3 linked regions of the Sus scrofa genome follow. The protein of the gene in region 1 interacts with the protein of each later gene in a biochemical or structural test. Links are inferred from orthologs where the notes say so. Each region holds a gene or a part of one and is shown on either strand. Other genes may lie near its edges. The genes, in order: EID1, FBXO21 and NR0B2.

Region 1 (6,533 bases):
TGTTTATATATCCCAACAAAAGGGCAATTAAGATGTTCCAGGTATAGAGGCAGCAGAGAAGTGACCTTAGGGATGTAGCATGAGAAAAATGACTTATTAGTAAATGCTCCTTAAAGAAAACTACCTTTGAAGTTCTAAGATAAATACAAATAATGCCCCCCACCGTAACTTCTAAGATGGTTCACACTGGGAGTTTTGTTGCCTCTCTCTAGATTATGAGATGCTGGTCTTTAATTAAGAAATTAAGGAGTTCCCACTGTGGCTCAGTGGAAATGAATCTGATTAGTATCCATGAGAATGCAGTTTGGAACCCTGGCCTTGCTCAGTGCGTTAAGGATCCCACTTTGCTATGGCTGTGGCTGGCAGCTACAGCTCATATTTGACCCATAGCTTTGAACCTCCATGTGCTACAGGTACAGCCCTTGAAAAATAAAAAAAGAAATTAAAACTATAAGCATAAGCTAAACAAAACAGATCTGTGTTCTTGAGGGCAGCCAATGTGGGCCATTTGATTTAAGCAAATATTTATAGTAAATGTGCATAGACCACAAAAGCTGTCTCCAGATCACACTACACACTCATGAATTTCTCTGAGTTCTCTCTCATCATTCCACATCCCACCCTCTCCCCCCATCAAAGAACCAGGATTAGAATTTCCCCAGAACTCTCTTCTTTAGTTTATCTATTTATATATAGATATGTATATCTTCATTAAATCCTCAGTTTGTAAGTTCCATCCAGTTATTCTTGTTCTTAGTTTGGGATCCTGAGGCAGAGAGATTAATTTACTCAGTTGCAGAGCTAGTAAGGATTGGAAGACAGATTTGAATCTGTGTATAACTGTTAACATTGAAAAATATTACCATTTTTTATCTTTGGTAAATATTAACAAGTGTTAATTTCAGTGATCACTCAGGTTACTGCCTATTTTTAAGACCAACAAACCAATCATCAGAGGAGTGAGTTGCAGAGTCTAGGTCTTTCTCCCCTAAATAAGCCTTCAAACCCAACAGGGAGTGGTCCCCCCCACCCCCTTCCTCCCGACTCAGTCTCTAAGAGAAACAGAGGAACACTTCCCAGTTTGTACATGTTTTTTCTGAACCTATTTCCTGGCATCTTTATCTGGAGGTAAATGCAACTAGTCAGTTCATGTGTACTCAACCCATTTTATGCTTTTTCCAGCGTACTGTTAATTCATATCCCACAAGCAATTATCTCCCCAAACTCTTAAGACTGCATCTACAAGCAGTGTCAATATGTAATGAAAGTAAGCCATGGGAGAAGTAGTAAAGACATTTGAGTGCCACAGTTTAACCTCTTTCCCCACCTCTGCTCCCATGCTAGTGTTTGAATTATGATCATCCTTACTTGCTAGTTCTGTAATTTACAGAGAAGAATCCCCTTCCCTGAAAGACAGGATAACTGTAACATAAGTAGGCTCTGAGTGGTCGTGTTGTATTGGCTGTGTCCTTTACTGCCATAATGGAGCAAAAACATCTGGTACTTTTTCACTGGGCACAGCCTTCTGACTGCTATTCACATAGAACTTCAGCAATATGCTTATTGATTTGGTAGGTTGTCCCAGGTTGGTCAATTCTCTTATGGGAATTTACTAAGTTTAATTTCCACCAATTAATTTGTAAATCAGGTATGTGAAGCTAGAGAACTTTCCCTTTTTGTTTTTTTTTTAGTGGTTAAATTTAAATCATAAAGTGGTTGCGCCCATACATTAAAGTAGTATATAATACAATAAAAGTAGAATTAGAGAAAGTATGTATGCAATACCATTAGACAAAATACACAGAACAAGAAATTTTTATTATCTGGAATGCTGGTGCATAACCAATAACAAGCTTAATTAGAGGAGGAGACAGAGGAAAAACTTCAGATACTGAGGTGAATTTCTGGGCAGGTTTAAAACCCTTAAGGGCTGACAGCATAATTGTTCATAAAGTCTTTTGTAGATGTAGGGCTCTCCTTTTACTTGACAGTTTTCAGTTAACAGTTCTTATATTATGAAGTTCAACCAAAGTCTTTTGCCTGTAAAGTTACATGAAAAACAAAGAGCAAGTAAAACAGAAAATTTCTCTAGTATATAAAGATGTTAGTTTTCTTTGTACTTTGACATTCTTAGTTTGAAACTTTATTAAGGACGTCTTAATTTTTGACTTTTAAAAATGGTCAAGACGGTAAATTTTCTTGAATTCAAGATTACAGTAGTGTTATAAATGATCAAGATATATGTACAAACAATATCTCAGATGCTCTTGGAAACACGCTTTAAGATATAGCACACATGATACACATTTCTTTGGAGGCTCGATTATTCTTTTGCAATACTGAAGAATACTCAATTTACCTTTCGCTAAAAATTTAGCCTTTGGATAATAACTACAGCTTGGCTTAGATGAATCACAAAATGACATCTTCAGTATGCTTTCAGTCCAAATAACTCAGACATGTGGTGTCCAAAGTTGGATAAATTAGTTACTTTTTCTCATATGATTAACATCAGTGGGCTCTTGTACCGGCCATGTGTCTTGGTTTTTCTTGCAAAGCCATCCGGAAATGTGAAAGATACTTTCCCAAATGCAAGGAAATTAATCTAGATCAGTAACAGAGTCAAAGCCACAAGTGTTTCACGACATTCTTGAAAACAGGTTTCAACAGTACTGAGATCCTTTTCCTTTAACAATTTTCTTCCTTTCCCATAACTGTGAAGTCACTTTCCTAGTCTACACTGCCCCCCCCCCCATTTTTTCTTTTGGATCAAGTGTTTCATTGGCACGGAACTATTCGGAATGAACCCAAGAGACTGGAATGTTGTTGGGTCTCTCCTCAAGTAGTTTCCTCCTCTCTTCACAGCATACTACTCTCTATCAATAATCTCATCACAGCCGAGTTCTTCGGTCAGACGATTGACAACCATAAGTGAAAAAAGCTCCTCGATAAAAGCCAACTGATCGAACGGGGTCTTCTCATAATGCATCTGAAATCCGCCCCCCAGAGCTGCTTCTCTCGCTCTGGAGGTCCTCAGAAACATCTTGTTGGCTTCTTCCAGGGCCGCTGAGACTCTGTAGCCCGCACCACTCAGCTGCTCCTCTTCCGGATAGTCGTAGTCGTCCTCCCAGTCATCAAATTCCTCGCCCTCGTCCTCGCTCTCGAAATCAGGGCCCGCGATCTGGCCCGGGCGCTCCCCAGGGTTGGGCCGGTTAGCGAGGCCTCGCTGCCCCTGCGGCTCCGCCATTGGCTGGGCCACCTCCTCCTCCATTGGGCCTTCCTCCTCCAGCTGTGGCGGGGCCCCGGAGCGGGAGGGGTTCGGGGACGGCCCCCGGCTCCCGCTGCCTACCTCCATTTGCGGAAGGTCGCTCTCGCCGGGCATCACATCCATCTGCAGGTCATTGCTCTCCTCATAAAGCTCGGACAGCTCGTGCATTTCCGACATTGTGCAATCGGCTAGACCTCTCGCCAAGCGTTTTCTGCAAGATCTGGGCTACGCGGCCGCGCGGTTGTGCGCTTGCGCACACGCCGTGGGCTTGCGTGACCTTGAGCGTGTGCGCGACCCCCAGAAATCGCCTCCTGCTTGGCGCGCTGCTCAGTCGGCAACCGCTAGCTGTTCGCTCCTGGGGACTTACGGGACCTTGGTCCTTTCAGACTAAATACACTTACAAACGAGAGCATTGCTTAGCCCCTGCCTTACTTAGTCATTCTGCTTCTGATGCTGTAATCTTGAAAACACTTTACACATCTTCTGTAACACCCCTTAACCCTCCTCCTCCATCGCCTTCCTCCTTCCTCCCTCCGCTTTTCGCTCCTCCTCCTTCCCCCATCCCCAGGCAATCACATCTTCTCCTAGGTTTTAACTACTTTTTTCTAGGCGCAAATGACTGCTAAATCTGCACCTCCAAAGCAAAAGATGTTCTGAACCACAGAGCAATATATTAAGAATTGATCCATCCATCTCTAATATTAAAAAAAAGTTAAATGAACAAATAAGCATATTAAAGGTGTTCTACAAAGAAAAAATAAATAGAAGAAATACTTGCTCCTGTTTCTTTTTGCAGGAGACATAACCTTACACTGTTAGCAATTCGGTGTATATTCTTTAAATTCCCTCCCCCCCTTTCTTTGCATTTACGTGGATCTCTCTATTGTCTTCTGGAAAAGTCTTTTTTTTTTTTTTTTCTTTTTACATATCTTAACATAATTGTCTTCAACTTTCAAAACAAGGAAACGAAAAAGCCCTCAGCAATGTCTTGAAGATTTAGCAGTGTTAGTGTCCACAGACATGTGTTTTTCCTAGTATGCTACTTGTATAGCAATGTTGCAAATGACCTAACAATGCACAAATAATTTTATAATTTTTGATATTTAAAATTATGGGTAAAAAAAAAAAAAGAAAAAACTATGGGTAAATGAACATCCCCAAATGACAATATTTCTCTCAAATGAAAACCTAGAAGTGCAAAGGTGAAATTGTAGGGTATTCATCCTTTAGTTTTAATAAATGTCAAATTGCTCTTCAAAGTTGCTGTGCAAATTTAGGCTCTAGCCAGCCATATTTGAGAATATCCACACCCTTGCCACACATTATTTTGTTGATTGTTAACAATTTTATCACTTAAAGGTGTATTATTTTATTTTTCATAGTCTTATTACTTGGAAATTATCTTTCAATATGTTTAGTGAACCTATGTATTACTTCTGAAAATTAAATGGTCTTATTTTAGGTTTGTTTATTTTTCTTATTGATGTAGGAATTTCTTATAAACTGAGTGTATGAATACTTTGTTTCACATGTTGCAAACATTTTCTCCCTGCCTCTTGTTTCTTGTTTCAAGGGTCTTTTAAAAAATGTTTTATTGAAGCATAGTTGATATATAATGTTGTGTTAATTTCTGCTGTATAGCACAGTGGTTCAATTGTACATATAAACATATCCTTTCTTTTTCAGATTCTTTTCCCATATAGGTTATCACAGAATATTGAGTAGAGTTCCCTGTGCTATACAGCAGGTCTCCAGTGACCATCCATTTCATATACAATTGTGTCCATATGCCAATCCCAAACCACCAATCCATCCCTCCCCCCATCTTTCCCCTTTGGTAACTATAACTGTTTTCGAAGTCTGTGAGTTTGTTTCTGTTTTGTAAATAAGCTCATTTTTTATCATTTTTTTAGAGTTCATATATATAAGTGATATCATATGTTTGTCTTTCTCTGTCTAACTTACCTCTGTATGATAATCTCTAGTATCATCCACGTTGCTGCAAATGGCATTATTTCATTCTTTTTTATATCTGAGTAATATTCTATTGTATCTTTATTCATTCATCTGGCAGTAGACATCTAGGTTGCTTTCATGTCTTGGCTATTGTGAATAGTTCCGCTATGAACATTGGGAAGCATGTTGCCCAGGAGTGGGATTACTGGGTCATATATTAGTTTTAATTTTAGTTTTTTGAGGAACCTCCATGCTGTATTCCATAGTGGTTGTACCAGTTTATATTCTCAGGGCTCTTTTCTTACATAAAAGTTTAAAAGTGAATTTTCATGTAATCAAATTTAAGGATTTCTTTCCTGTATGTCTTATTTCTTTCTATTTACCTATCTCAAAGGTCATAAGCATAATCTTTTATCTGTCTTCTAACAAAAGACCTTTGTATAAATCCTTTATGGATCAAACATTTATTTATATAAATAATATGAGGATAGGCTTTATTTATATATGTTTTCCATGTATGTAGCTAATTCAGCTAACTGCACTAATTTAACCATTTGTCCTTTTTTCTGCTCTTTGGTGCCACATTTATCATAGACTAAAAGACCACAAAAGTGTGAATCTGTTTTTAGACTTTGCACACTAATGAATTTCTATAGTTTTATGTCTTGCTAATGAGGAAAATCTTATCTCTTTGTTCTTTAAAACACTGCCTCAGATCTTTTTGCACATTTATTCTTTCATGTGAATTTTACAAGTAGTTTGAAAAGTTCCCTGAATGACATTGGTGGAATTTTCATTGGAATGCATGGAATTTATAGATTAGTTTTGGGGGAGAATTGACATATTTATAATACTGTCTTTCATCCATAAAGGTGATATATGTCTTTCTTCTTGCTCAGGTCCTCCTTATATGCTTCAATGAAGTTTTCCAAAAAGTCTTATGTGATTCTCATTAGTTTTATACTTTGGTTCTCTTGTAAAATGTACCTCCCCAAATATTGACTATTGCTGATATATGGAATAACATTGATCTTTGCATATTGACTTTGTTTTTACTAATCACCTTTAACTGAAATAGAAGTAACAGAAAGCATAAATATAAAAAAGTGTACAAATCATGATGGTATATCTTGATTATCACAAAATGAACATATTTGTGTAACTTCAACTCAGATCAAGGAACACCATTTTCAGGATCCCAGAAAACCACTTCCTTTCTCTTCCTTTGTCCCAAAAGTCACCACTGTCCTGATTTCAACCAGAATGAAATAATTTTGCCTGTTTTTGAACTTTCTATTAGTTTAACTAT
Region 2 (6,677 bases), on another chromosome or scaffold:
CATCTTTCTGGTAAACTGGAAATTAACCTTCAGAAAATATAAGGCATAAAAGAATTTTAAGCAACAATCAAGAGATAATGGATTCCTCTTGATTGAGAGAGATAAAAGCAAGGCTCAACCAAGTATCTGTAATGTTCATGGGCGAAGTAGATTATTTCTTACCATAATCCAGAAATTGTAAAATATTATCCATTAAATTAAGACATACACGAGAAACTTTTTTTTAAAGAATTCAATTCACGACAGGCAAATCTGGTGGTGGTAGGTGAACAAGTGACAACGAAGAAAGGATAATTTGTATTAACCAAATGCCATAATAGATACAAGTGCCCAGAGTACAGTATTTGACCCGAAGGAGGACTAAACATGAATTCTCCCGAAAGGATTTTTGAACTGTTTCTTTGCATATCAATTGTCTTGGTGTAGTTACCTTGTACAGAGGAAATTTTTCAAAAATCTAACTGTAACAACATGAATGTAACATGAAATATTTGGAAATGTGTCCCACAGTTCAGCCACATACTAATTACAGCAATTAACTCTGGGGTAATTATTAAAACAAACAAAATCCTGGATAAAACTACAGCTTACCTTCCTTCCATATTTAGGATACACACCAGTTCATCCTCAAAAAATATCTCTGGTCCCTCAAGATTCTCAATGTCACTAAAACCGTTACAAGGGACCTATGAAAAGACACATACAAAGAGGCTCAGTAATGAGTAATAATGTCATCGTCATGCTCACACACAAATCTGAGTTGCAAACAAAGCTGCTCTTTTTCACAGAAGTGGTAACACCTCTCCCACACTATCTTGCACTGCCCACCCACTACGGGTGGAAAGCAACCTGTGGAGTAACAATAGTTTGTTCAGATCATACTGTTAGTTGTAAATGACTTACATCTTCAAAGACTGGAGTTTCTGAAAGTGATAACTCAGTTCAAATGTGAAGAAAAATAACTCTGAAATCAGGACCAGAAACACAAAATCTCCTAATTAACAATAACTATTCTGTGCAGTCTACACTGAATTCAACTAGGAGTGGAGGGCCAGAGAAGTCCAGTGCTTCAGGCGACTCTTGACCCTTTATGTTTTCCCCTCTGTAAATTGAGGGGGTGGTACCAATGAGCTTTAAGATCCCTTCAGCATAAAATTCTACTACCTCTCCCACTTTCCTTTTTCAAAGTAATCAGGAAATTTCATGTCAACCTGTACACGCTGAGAACACAGAAATACAAGGGTCCTGAGCCAAAGTAATCATCCACCCACAGATCAATCCTAAGTATGCTCCTGCTATGTTCAAAGTCCTTGACACACTTCTAATCAAGCAGAGGTGCAGGGAAAGAGGGCACTGAGGGAAAAACACAACAATGCATCATTATTAGACAAAGGCACAGACAGTGAAAATTGCACACAAAACCAGCTGCGACTATTAACTAGAGGTCGCAAACTAGTAGCCCACGTCCAAGGGCATCAAATACATCCGGCAATATGTGTGGGCAAATCCATTTAAACCAGTATGGAAAATGTGTGGTATGAATGCTTTTAGCTAGTGCATGGCTTATCCAAAGTAGGATATACATTTTGTTCACTCTAACATTTAAGAAACATTTACTTATAGAAATGAATTACACTAGGGAATATCTAGTTTTAATTTCTATGGGGGAATAAGTTCAAATTTACCCAAAGCCCAACTTTTCCCTTTCAAAACTTGAAAAGCCATGAAAACATTTCAAATATATGAACTCCATTAAATAACAGTAATTAAAATTAGAAAATAGGGAAGTTCCCGCTGTACTGCAGCAGGATCCAGCTTCGTCTCTGCAATGGCATAGGTTCAATCCCCAGCCTGGCACAGTTAAGGCTCCAGCATTGCCACAGCTGCGGCATAGGTCGCAGCTGTGGCTCGGCTTTGGTCCCTGGCCTGGACACTTACATATGCCAAAAAACAAAAACAAAAATAAACAAACAAAAAGAATTAGAAAACAGGAATCAAACTTCAGTAAATGAGGATATTAAAATAAATCAGATCCGTTTCATTTCTAGACCTCCAACCAAAAATAAACTTAAAATATTAGTGTGCACTATTTTCCAGAATTACAAAAAGTTAAGAATCAGGACCTGATACAGAAACTTCTGTGAGACACTTTGTGGAAGGGAAACAAACCAACCAACCCATGCATTTCAGCATTACATAAAAAAATTAAAAAAAAAAAATCTTTTGGGGGATAATGAATGCAAGACAATTTAATTGCGGGAGTAATGATTCTCCATTCACAGGTAGCTTTTAATCCTCTGTTACCTTAACAAATAACGCAGTTCACTACTGGTTAGAACCTGCAAAGCCAGAAAGAACCATATTAATTTTGTCAACCCTTCTGGGAAAACAACTGGGTGAAATTTGCAGTGTTCAATCATCGATGATCTCCCCCCACTCCCCCACCCCCAGTAACCTGGAGGTTGCAAAAATATATGTTTAACCCACTTAAAGAGAATAATGCTGATCTGGATTCCCTCCACATTGCGCTGCGGGTCCCTTCCTCCCTCTCCCTCCCCCCATTCTCTCTGGCTTTAGAAAAGTAAAGCTGGCAGGGACAAATGGCTTCATGTTGTTGGATGGGAGGAAAAGGACACAATGACTCTTGCAGCCATGGAAGTGAGTAAGGGATTGTGAGGGCACAGAAAAGGGAGATGGCAAAAAGAGCTGATGAGCTAATGCCTACAGACCCAGACACAAACACCGAGAACAGGCAAACGCTTAGAACTCCAACAACAGATCCTTACGTGCTCGGAAAAGAACCTCTTTGAGAATGAGGCTACAATCTTCCGGGCTTCTAACCCAGCTTTTTGCCGAACTTTATACTCCTCCAACCAATTGACGTAGTCGGTGGGGCTGTAGTGTTTCATAAGGGAAGGCCACCTACAAGGAGAGAAACACTCCCTCAGCGCAACGGAGACTCAAAGGCGGCCTTGGGAAACTGGGAAACAGTTGGTTTTAGGGGTCAGAGGGGCCCTGGCGATAGTTCAAATCTCCACCCGGCACGCACGCACTTGCTCACGCCGTGACCTTGGCGTGGCAATAGGAATACTGCATTTCCAGTCCCCATTTATAAAATGGGGACAGTCGTAGCAACAATAATCATAGTGATGACAATCACAGTTAACATTAATTGTGCGCCTCCTAAGAGCCGGGCCCGGTGTAAGTACTCCCTACACATCATCTCATCTAATAACCAAAGTCAAAGGTAGGTCTAATCAACACTGTTTAAAGTCGATGAATGAGGATCAAAAAAGGGAAGTCGCTACCCCCAAGGTCACACGGGGAGTACGTCAGGGCCAGATTTCATCCCCGGTCCCACACCGAAATCTGTGCTCTCAGCTAACTGCCAGGAGATGCTGCGCCCGCTCCTCAAAGGGCTGTTAGGATCACTGCATCACTGGGTCCATGTAAACATTCTAGCACTGAGTCGGGCACAAAAGCAGCGCGCAGAAAGGATGAGTCGTGATACCACAGTCGTCATCCTTTATGGAGGGCCCGGCTGCTGGGCGCTTCCCGATGCGCAATTTGGGCACCGGCGGGTCCGTGCAGCGTGGACCGAGGGGTCGGCGGCCTGGAGGCCTTTGTCTGTCCGTCCCCGGGAAGGGGTCCGGGGGTGGGATCCGGGACTGGGGTCCGCGCGCTGGCAGGGAGGCGGCGGCTATGGGCTGCCGGGCCCGGGCCCCCGGGGCGCAGAGTGGGGGCACGGGCGGCCGGGGCCGCTGGCTCACCTCACCCGGAACTGTTCCTTCCACACCTTCCCGCTACTCTGGCACAGCTCGCGCAGCCGCCGGCAGGTGCTAGAGACGCGGCCTATGTCGGCGGCCGTCAGCGAGCCGCTGCACAGAATGTACTCCAGCACCTCGCCGGGCAGGTTGACGAGGCAGCTGAGGCCCGCCGCCTCGGGCGCGGCCTCCTCCGCCAGCGCCGGCACCACCTCCATCGCGCTATCGACCGCTGCTGCCGCCATCTTGTCTGCGTACCTGGGGCCGCCGCGCGCGCGCACCAGGGCGCCCCCTCGCCCCGCCCACCCGCCTCGAGGGGAGGGCTCCAGGGTCACCCCGCCCACGACGTGACCACACCTCCTCGGTCCAATCAGTTCTCGATGGGCTGCAATGCTGCCAAAGGAAAGAAATACGTTTTGGAAAATAACAGCGCGGTGGGCTCGGGAACTGTGAGTGGACAATCATAGTAGCATCCATTTTTATTATGAGTGCCGAGCGCTTCCTGTGAATGTGCTCATCAGACCTTTCCAATAACCCTATGAACCGTTATTCTCCCCCCAGTTACAGGAAACTGAGGCTCAGGGAGATAAAAGGACTTGTTGAGAGTCCCTTGTCCTAGATTTTAATCCAGATCCGCTTGACTCTGCTTGATTGTACGCTAAACCAATGTGCTGTAATGCTAACGAACAATATTTGAGTGGGGATTGTGCCATGGGCTTTACATACGTTCTTCAAGGATGCCTCATTTGAGCCCTAGGTGATACGTATCATTTTTATACCCATTCTACAGATAAGGAAAACCTGGCTCATAAGGGTGGGAGTCACTGCTTCAAAGTCACAGAGGCAAAAAGTGGTAGAACCTGGATTTGAATCCTGCGCACAGGATTTCCCACTCAACTGAGTGGACACTCTTTCCTCGTGCCTGCACCTATTGTTTATTTTGTCTTTTTAGGGCCACATTCCTGGCATATGGAAGTTCCCAGGCTAGGGGGTGAATTTGAGCTGCAGCTGCTGGCCTACATCGCAGCCACAGCCACACGGGATCTGAGCCTCGACTGCCACCTACACCACAGCTTGCGGGCAACTGTGGATTTCTAGCCCACTGAGTGAGGCCAGGGGTCCAACCCGCATCTTCATGGATACTAGCGCGTTCGTTACCACAGCATCACAACAGGAACTCCTATTTATTAATTTTTTAAACTCGGTTTAGTTTAGTGCCAGGCTCTGTGCTGTATGCCCTGGTGATAGAAGTGAAAAAGACAGGATCTTTGCCTTCCAGGAACTCAGAGTACAATTGGGGGGGTGGGGGGACATGCAAGTACAATCTGTTGTCAGTCCAGGGAGGCTCAATATAGTATTCCCCTCAATTTGGAAATCAGAATCCCCTGAGAGAGGTGAACTAGGAAAGTTATTCTTAATGGATGGTGTTGAGCCATCCATGACTCCCTATTACCCTAAGAAACAAATCCAAGAGTTCGCCTTGTGGCTCAGCAGGTTAAGAACCCTACATAGTGTCTGTGAGGATGTAGGTTCAATCCTTGACCTCACTGGGTTAAGGATCTGGCAGCATTGCTGCTAGCTGATGTGTAGGTTGTACATGTGACTTGCTCTGGCCAGCAGCTGCAGCTCCTATTCAACCCCTAGCCTGGGAATTTCCATATGTCAAGGGTGTAGCCATTTAAAAAAAAAAAAGAAAAGAAGGGAGGAAGAAAGGAAGAGAAATCCAAAATCCCTAACATTGTTGCAAAGGGACAGACTCCTATCTTCCTCTCCTTGCTTATCTGAAGCCATTCTCTCCCTCACTAGCCTCACTGTAGCCAGGCTGGGGTCTTTCCTCCCACTTCTGGCCTTCACATATATACTGTTTCCATGGCCTGGAATGTGCTTTGTGCCAGCACGTCCTCCTTTTAGCTCCTCCTCCTTGTCTTCCAGGACTTAGCCGAACCTCTCCAGATGCCCTCCCCTTCCCCCACCCCAGCGCCAGAACCAGATCCAGCCCCTTCACAGCATGTTACAGGCTTGCAATGATTACTTAATTGCACTATTTGTTTGATCTTCATCTTTCCCACTGGATCAGAAGCAGCTTGAGGATCAGGCCTGTCTTTGATTCACCTGTGGATGCCCACGCATTTGGCCCAAGGCCTTGTACCGAGCAGCCCCTCAATAATTATCTCTTGATGGCAATTGTCTAACTAGCTGTTTAGCAAGAGCCAGTGACGTGGCCTTCTGATGCCCAGTTTTTAAAATGGGGGTAATAATAATGCTGGCCTCCTGGGACTGTTGTGAGAATTAAATGAGTACATTATGTAAAGTGACTAGAACAGTACCTGGCATGGAGACCGTGCTTGATAAAAGCATTATGGGGGAACGGGGAGAAACTGCTTAATGGGTACGGGTTTCATTTTAGGTGATGGAAATATTTTTGAAAAGAGCGGCAGTGGTTGCATAATGTAGTGAATGTACTAAACACCACTGAATCATTTGCTTTATTATGTTTAATTTTATGTGATGTGAATTTCACCTCAATCCTTTTTTTTTTGAAAAGTGTGTTACTACTTGAATTAATTTAATGGGGCTACCACAACAATGTGCCATAGACTGGGTGACTTAAACAACAGAAATTTATTGTCTCACAGCTCCAGAGGCTAAGTCCAAGATCAAGGTGTTGGAGGGTTGGTTTCTTCCAAGACCCTCTATCCTTGGCTTGTAGGTGGCCATCTTTGCCCTGTGTCTGGACATGGTCTTCCTTCTGTATGTCTGCATCTCAATCTCTTTTTCATAACAACAGTCACACTGGATTCAGACCCATGCTAATGGCCTCATACTAATGACCCATACTAATGACCTCTTTAAAGAATGTGTTTCCAAATATAGTCGCATTTGAGATTCTGGGGGTTAGGTCTTCAAGGGGAT
Region 3 (6,864 bases), on another chromosome or scaffold:
CTGAAGGGGGTCCTATGGGCATGTGTGTTGTTATCGTTCCCTCCTGCCCCCCCCCCTGCAGGGCAGTGACCCTGACCTGGGTGATGTTCAAAATGTTTAACAAACAGTGAGGCACAGACATTGACCGGTCAGAACAGACGCAAGCCACGCACTGAATGGAACAGTTCCAGAGGCCATGGCTATGCCAAGCATTGCCTCTCTAGATGCTGGACCCGGGGATGGGTTCCAGGAGAAAGGCCAGCACAGAGGGGCAGTGGGAGGAAATACAGGGGCGCTCAGTGCAGTGGCTGCGAACCAACTGGCATGGAAGTGTTTCAAACTTAAACAGCTGGTGTGGCAGCTAAACCTCAGTTTGTCTTGGCCTCCTAACAGCTGCCAGGCCAGCCCTGGGTGCCCTTGTCCCCTCTCATTGGGGAAACAATGGACCACCCTCCTCTGTCAGCTGAAGCAATGAAGGAAGCAAATCAATAACCACCTCAGAAATTCCAGGAAACTGGCTGCTTCAATTTGGGGATGGTCTGTTTTATTTTCCTTTTTTTTTTTTTTTTTTGGTCTTTTTGCCATTTCTTGGGCCGTTCCCGTGGCATATGGAGGTTCCCAGGTTAGGGGTCGAATCGGAGCTGTAGCCACAGGCCTACGCCAGAGCCACAGCAACGCGGGATCCGAGCCGCGTCTGCAACCTACACCACAGCTCACGGCAATGCTGGATCGTTAACCCACTGAGCAAGGGCAGGGACCGAACCTGCAACCTCATGGTTCCTAGTCGGATTCTTAACCACTGCCACGATGGGAACTCCTCATTTTCCTTATTGGCTGGGATGCAGTTCTCACTGAGGTGAGAGGGAGCCTAGGGCGGGAGCTGGGGGAGGGGGTCAGCAGGGGATGGGGGCAGGGAGAGATACCTACTACCTTCTAAGATAAAGTCAAGGATGTGAGGGAGTCTTGAACTGATGCTGCCCCCTGGATTTAGACCCATGCAAAATAAATCGCATCCCCAGAAATGAAATCATCATTCCCCTCTGATATATTAAAATTCCAGTTTCCAGAGGTCTGACTGCTGTACACTTAGAGTTCCTTCTTCAGGGGCTCCCTCCTATAGGGGCAGGGCGGGGTAACCCCAGAGGTGAGGCGGTCCCCTCCACATGTACAAAATACAGCGTCAGGCTCCATGTGTGTCACACTTTTTATTACAAAAACCAATAACTTAAGTCAGTTCTGTACAAAGTCAGGAGGACTCCTGACCCAGTGAGCAGTCAGACTTTCCAACCCCATCCCAGGAGGAGACAGGAGTCTTGGCCCAAAGGTCCTGGGACCACCAAGGGCTGGCCAGACAGCTGGAGCACGGTGCCCAAAACAAGGAAGGCCAAGATAGGGTGTAGCCCAATTGGCTGGGCCAGGACTAGCTGCTCCTGGGGAGCCGAGAGCTCGCTGTCCAGGCTTGCCCCCTCTGGGAGCACCGGCTCACCCCTGGGGACAGCCAGGTCAAATCAGTGCTGCCAGCCTCCACCTGATCTCTGCCTGGGCTGGAGCAGGTCAGCTCAGCAAAAGCATGTCCTCGAGGAGGCCAACGATGTCAACATCTCCAATGACAGGGCGAAAGAAGAGGTCCCCAAGCAGGGTGGGCGGAATGGACTTGAGGGTGGAGGCTGCGAGGAGAACACGAGCCAAGCGGCTTTGGCCTGCTGGGCACCAGGGCTCCAAGACCTCCCACAGCGCCTGGTGGGCCTCGTGCTGCAGGTGCCCGATGTGGGAGGAGGCATAGAGGCCTGGAACATCTGCGGGCAGAGAAGGCAAAGAGGGCTGGTGAGGACCCTGCTCCGACACCACAGGATAAGACTGGCCCAAGACCTGAGGCCGCCAGCTCAGCTTTTGGGACCCTATTTCTATCTCGAGTTACTTATCCATCACTTTATTCATTGCTCCTTTATGGTGAGGTAGTATAGAGCAATGGTTAAGACCCAGGCCACCTGGGTTTGAATCCCACACTATCATTATTAGCTATGTGGCCTTGGGAAAGTTACTCAATCTCTGTGCCTCTGTTTCCTCATTTGTAAAATGGGAATAAATAATAAAATGATAGGAGTTACTGTCGTGGCTCAGCAGTTAACGAACCCGACTAGCACCCGTGAGGATGCAAGTTTGACCCCTGGCCTCCCTTGGTGGGTTAAGGATCCCGCACTGACAGGAGCTGTGACATAGGTCAAAGATGCGGCTCGGATCCCGCATTGCCATGGCTCTGGCATAGGTGGGTGGCTACAGCTCCGATTGGACCCCTAACCTGGGAGCCTCCATGTGCCATGGGTGCGGCCCTAGAAAGACAAAAAGGCAAATAAGGATAATAATAATAATGATAATGATAACAAAATGATAAAATGGGTATAAAAACCTATCTTCTAGACTTGTTATGAGGTTTGAATGAGCCAGTACATGTCAAACCCTTAGCACTGGACTGAACATACGGTAAGCGTAATATGAGTATTTGTTACTATTGTTCTAAACAATTTCTTTGATAATGTATCCCATGAAGGCCTTTTGGGGAGACATTCTCATCTAGGTGCTCTCCAGATAACAAAGACACTACCTCTATCTGTGCTCTCCCGGCTGAAGTTTACACAGACTCCTCCCTCTCCTCCCCCACATCCCTCGTTTTCATTCCTCTTCTATGCATGGTCTTTCTGGACCCACGGACTTGCACCTTCAGAATATCTTCATGCCATCAGCTGGTGAAGACATGACTGAGGTACAGTTGTGTCTGTCCACCCTCCCTTTCAGGACTCCCGCCTTCCCTGAGGGTCAGGACAAGGTTCTGGGGCAGAGTGGCTGAAGTGAAGAGACCCAAGTTCCCATCCTTGCTCTGCCCCTCCCTGGCTGTGTGACTTTCAGCGAGTCACTTAGCCTCTCTGAGCCCCTTTTGTGAGATGACTCTTTGGTGGTGATAATGAGGACCCAAAAAAGACAACGGGTGTCAAGCCTTTAGAAGGCGCCCTCCTGGCTAAGCCCTGGCCCCCTCCAGCCTCGGCCCCCATCCAGGAGTGTCTAGGAGCTCACCAGGGTTGAAGAGAATGGTCCCTTTCAGGTAGGCGTATTCCTTGGGGCCCAGCTCCAGACTCCATAAGGACTCCAGGCAGCACTGAAGCCACTGCACGGCAGCCAGCGAGGGCTGGGGCCGATCCAGCGGCTGGCCACTACCTGCGCCGCTGCTGGGCTCCTCCAGCAGGATCTTCTTGAGTATACTGGGAACTGGGACCTCGGCCACCTCGAAGGTCACAATGTCTTGGGCCAAACCAAGCAGGAAGAGGGGACCCCAGCAGCCCCGCAGCAGCTGCCGCTGATCCTGGGGAGGCAGCTGGCAGAAAGACGGCAAGTTCCTGAGGAAGGCCAGCGTCTTGGCCAGAACATTCAAAGCCTCCTGGCAGGTGCGATGGGGGGTACAGAGCCGGACAGGCCGGTGCTGCCTGCACAGGCAGTGGCTGCGGGCTGGGGGCACAGACGGCCGGTCCCTGTCGCTGGGGCTCAGAAGTGCATACAGAATGGTTGGGCGGCCTGCTGCACTCTGGCATGGGCAGGTCCCTGGCTGCCTGGAGCTCATGATTGAGGCTCTGCTCCTGCTTCCTCCCGGCTCTCCCCTGCCCTCTGCTCTGTGCTATGGGTGCTATTTATATCCCCCCATGGGGGAGGGCGGGGGAATGGCCCAACAACCTTGACTCCAGAAGTCATGTTCATTGAAAAAAAAAGAAACACACACTGACCCTGGCAGGACCGGTGAGGAAGTGAGGGGGGAGGGGGCCTTGGAACTCCACGTGGCTCTGATATCGCTTCAGTCAATGAAGCGGCGGGTGCAGGGCAAGAGCCGCCTGCCTGCTGGCCGGGCTGCCCTTTGTCAGATGATTCAAGTGGATAAACAGGGTCATTAACCCAGGCTGTACCAGGGCACCAAGGCCTCAGGTGCATGATTGCACCCGATTGCAGGTGGCCGTGGCAGGTGTCCCTGTTGGTGCCAGCAGGACTCTTGCTCGACTGGGAAGCCAGCCCCAGACCGGGACAAGCCTTGAACACAAGGCCCAACCTGGAAGCGCCTTATCACTTGCTTGTTTGCCTAACCTTGGGGCCCTGCTCCCGTTGTCAGTAAGGAACAACCTGCAGGGAAGGGAGCCAGGACCCTGGGGGGCTGGGAGGACTTTGCCCACTTTGCAGTCAAGGAGGCCCCTTTCCTCTGACTCCAGTTCTGGGGGGTCCTGCACGAATAAGATCCTTAAGAAGTCTTTCTCCCCAGCCTGGATTCCTGGAGACCCTGAAGGGCTATATCTGCTGAGAAGCCTTTGCAGAATGATAATGAAATACTGCTGCTATTTACTACATGCCAGGCACTTTCCACTCTCTTATTCAAAGCTGCCCTATAAGATTCCAAACCTTTTTTTTTTTTTTTTTGTCTTTTTTAAGGTCACACCCACAGCATATGGAAGTTCTTAGGCCAGGCGGTCAAATCAGAACTGCAGCTGCCTGCCTACACTACAGCCACAGCAATGCGGAATCTGAGCCAAGTCTGTGACCTACACCACAGCTTGAGGCAAGGCTGTTTCCTTAACCCACTGAGCAAGGCAGGGATCGAACCTGCATTCTCATGGATACTAGTTTGTTTCTTATCCCACTGAACCACAACAGGAGCTCCCAAGATTCTTACTTTTTGAGACTCAAAGAGGTGAAGTGACTTGCCCAAGTTCAAACCACTGAGAAGAGACAGAGCCCAGATCAGTCTGACTCCAAAATCCTCACTTGTTGCCCTGGACCCTCTGGCCCAATTGGGCAGCCAGAGCTGTGGGGCCTGGGTCTCCCAGAGCTCATGACCACCTGGGCCCCCACCTCTGCTTCTTGGTCTGCAGATGTTGCCCATGTGATCTGGGCAGAAATGTTGCTCTGCTGCCAGCTAGCCACACGGCTCCCCTGTCCCTGGCATCTGTTTCTGACGTCGGGAGGGCTGTTGGGACGGTCCTTGGCTGTGTCATATCTGTGGACCTTGGCAAGCCCAGCCTGGCAAGCCTTCTGCTAACACACTACTGGGCAGCCATTGCCATCCCTGGCATCAGCTCCTGGCTCTATCACTTTCCAATAGTGTGACTGTGGGCTGAACCCCAAATCTCCTGTGGGCCTCAGGATCCTCAGCTGAGACAATACCTGCCTATGGGGCAGCTGTGAGGACATAGTGAGGTCCGAGGCATCAGATTCCAAGCAGTTTCTAGCATATATTAGACTTTGCTCCCCCTTTCCTCTGCCTAAGGAACTAAGGCAAACAGACCCCAGCAGACAGGCACACATCTCTCCTGTGATTACAATAACATAACAATCTTAATCATTCCACATATAAAGTTGCTTTAACATCCTTTTATCTCACTGGGTCCTCAGAGCATCCCCTCTAAGGAGACTCTAGGGTCAGACTGGCTGGGTCCAAACCCTTTTTCATTATTTAATTGAGCCACCTTGGGCCTTGGGCGCAAGTCACTTTATATTTCTGGGCCTCAGTTTTCTCATATTTAAAAGGGTAGTAAGAAGATCCCATTGTGGCTCAGCAGTAACGAACTCGACTAGTTACCATAAGGATGCAAGTTCGATCCCTGGCGTTGCTCAATGGGCTAAGGATCCATCGTTGCCATGAGCTGTGGTATTGACTGCAGATGCAGCTTGGATCTTGCATTGCTGTGGCTGTGGGGTAGGCCGGCAGCTACAGCTCCGATTCAGCCCCTAGCCTGGGAACTTCCATATGCTTCAGATTAAAAAAATTAAAAAGGGTAGTAAGAAAGGCCACTAGTGAATATTGGTCTTAGGGCCCTGAAGCTTATACAGTTTTGTAGGGCCGTCTTTAAGAATAGAAAATCAGGGATCCCCTCTGATGCAGTGGGTTAAGGATCCAGCTCAGGTTGCTGCTATGGCATGGGTTTGATCTCTGACCTGGGAACTTCCACATGCCATGGGCCTGGCTAAAAAAAAAAAGAATAGGAGTTCCCGTCGTGGCACAGTGGTTAACGAATCCAACTAGGAACCATGAGGTTGTGGGTTCGGTCCCTGCCCTTGCTCAGTGGGTTAACGATCCGGTGTTGCCGTGAGCTGTGGTGTAGGTTGCAGATGCAACTCGGATTCCGCGTTGCTGTGGTTCTGGTGTAGGCCGGTGGCTGCAGCTCTGGTTGGACCCCTAGCCTGGGAATCCCCATATGCCTCGGGAGCAGCCCAAGAAATAGCAAAAAAAAAGACAAAAAAAAAAAAAAAAAAAAAAAGAATAGAGGGGAATCCCTGTTGTGGCGCAGTGGAAACAATCCGACTAGTAACCATGAGGTTGCAGGTTTGATCCCTGGCCTTGCATTGCCATGAGCTGTGGTTCAGATCTCAGATCCAGCGCTGCTGTGGCTGTGGCTATAGCCAGCAACTGTGGCTCTGATTTGACCCCTAGCCTGGGAACCCTCATATGCTGCTAGTGTGACCCTACAAAGAAAAAAAAATAAAGAATAGAAAATCAGGTGTGAAAATGAATATTTAATAAATGAGAAAACAAATCCTAACAAATTACAAAGTAAAATAAGCTGACAGAAAACAGACACCACAAACCCAGGATAATAACAAAGTGCTTGTACTGATCAATTACCTAACCATATTTGTCAACACCAGATCCTTGATTCACTGAGCGAGGCCAGGGGTAGAACCTGCAACCTCATAGGTCCTAGTCGATTTGTTTCTGCTGCACCACAATGGGAAGTCCCTGTATATATAGTTGTGACTAAACATAAAAGTACACAAATCATACATGTATAGCTTGAGGAATTATCACAAAATGAACGGAACCCAGTAACCACCTCTCAGCACAAGAAATAAGAGCAT

The links.
Region 2: of the proteins of EID1 (region 1) and FBXO21, one has a biochemical effect on the other in vitro, tested with the Homo sapiens proteins (2 studies listed by BioGRID, with this or other methods). The link is inferred for Sus scrofa from reciprocal best matches to the Homo sapiens genes EID1 and FBXO21.
Region 3: the proteins of EID1 (region 1) and NR0B2 form a complex in vitro, tested with the Homo sapiens proteins (3 studies listed by BioGRID). The link is inferred for Sus scrofa from reciprocal best matches to the Homo sapiens genes EID1 and NR0B2.

The regions. Positions count from the first base shown.
Region 1 is NC_010443.5:122,808,687-122,815,219, forward strand, and holds EID1 (EP300-interacting inhibitor of differentiation 1), read right to left. Parts: upstream 3,796-6,533; 5' UTR 3,446-3,795; coding exon 2,870-3,445; 3' UTR 1,798-2,869; downstream 1-1,797. UniProt on the Homo sapiens protein: Interacts with RB1 and EP300 and acts as a repressor of MYOD1 transactivation. Inhibits EP300 and CBP histone acetyltransferase activity.
Region 2 is NC_010456.5:35,310,991-35,317,667, reverse strand, and holds the start of FBXO21 (F-box only protein 21), read right to left. Parts: upstream 4,010-6,677; coding exon 3,771-4,009; intron 2,923-3,770; coding exon 2,787-2,922; intron 687-2,786; coding exon 592-686; intron 1-591. UniProt on the Homo sapiens protein: Substrate-recognition component of the SCF (SKP1-CUL1-F-box protein)-type E3 ubiquitin ligase complex.
Region 3 is NC_010448.4:84,222,458-84,229,321, reverse strand, and holds NR0B2 (nuclear receptor subfamily 0 group B member 2), read right to left. Parts: upstream 3,653-6,864; 5' UTR 3,590-3,652; coding exon 3,049-3,589; intron 1,776-3,048; coding exon 1,534-1,775; 3' UTR 1,166-1,533; downstream 1-1,165. UniProt on the Homo sapiens protein: Transcriptional regulator that acts as a negative regulator of receptor-dependent signaling pathways. Specifically inhibits transactivation of the nuclear receptor with which it interacts.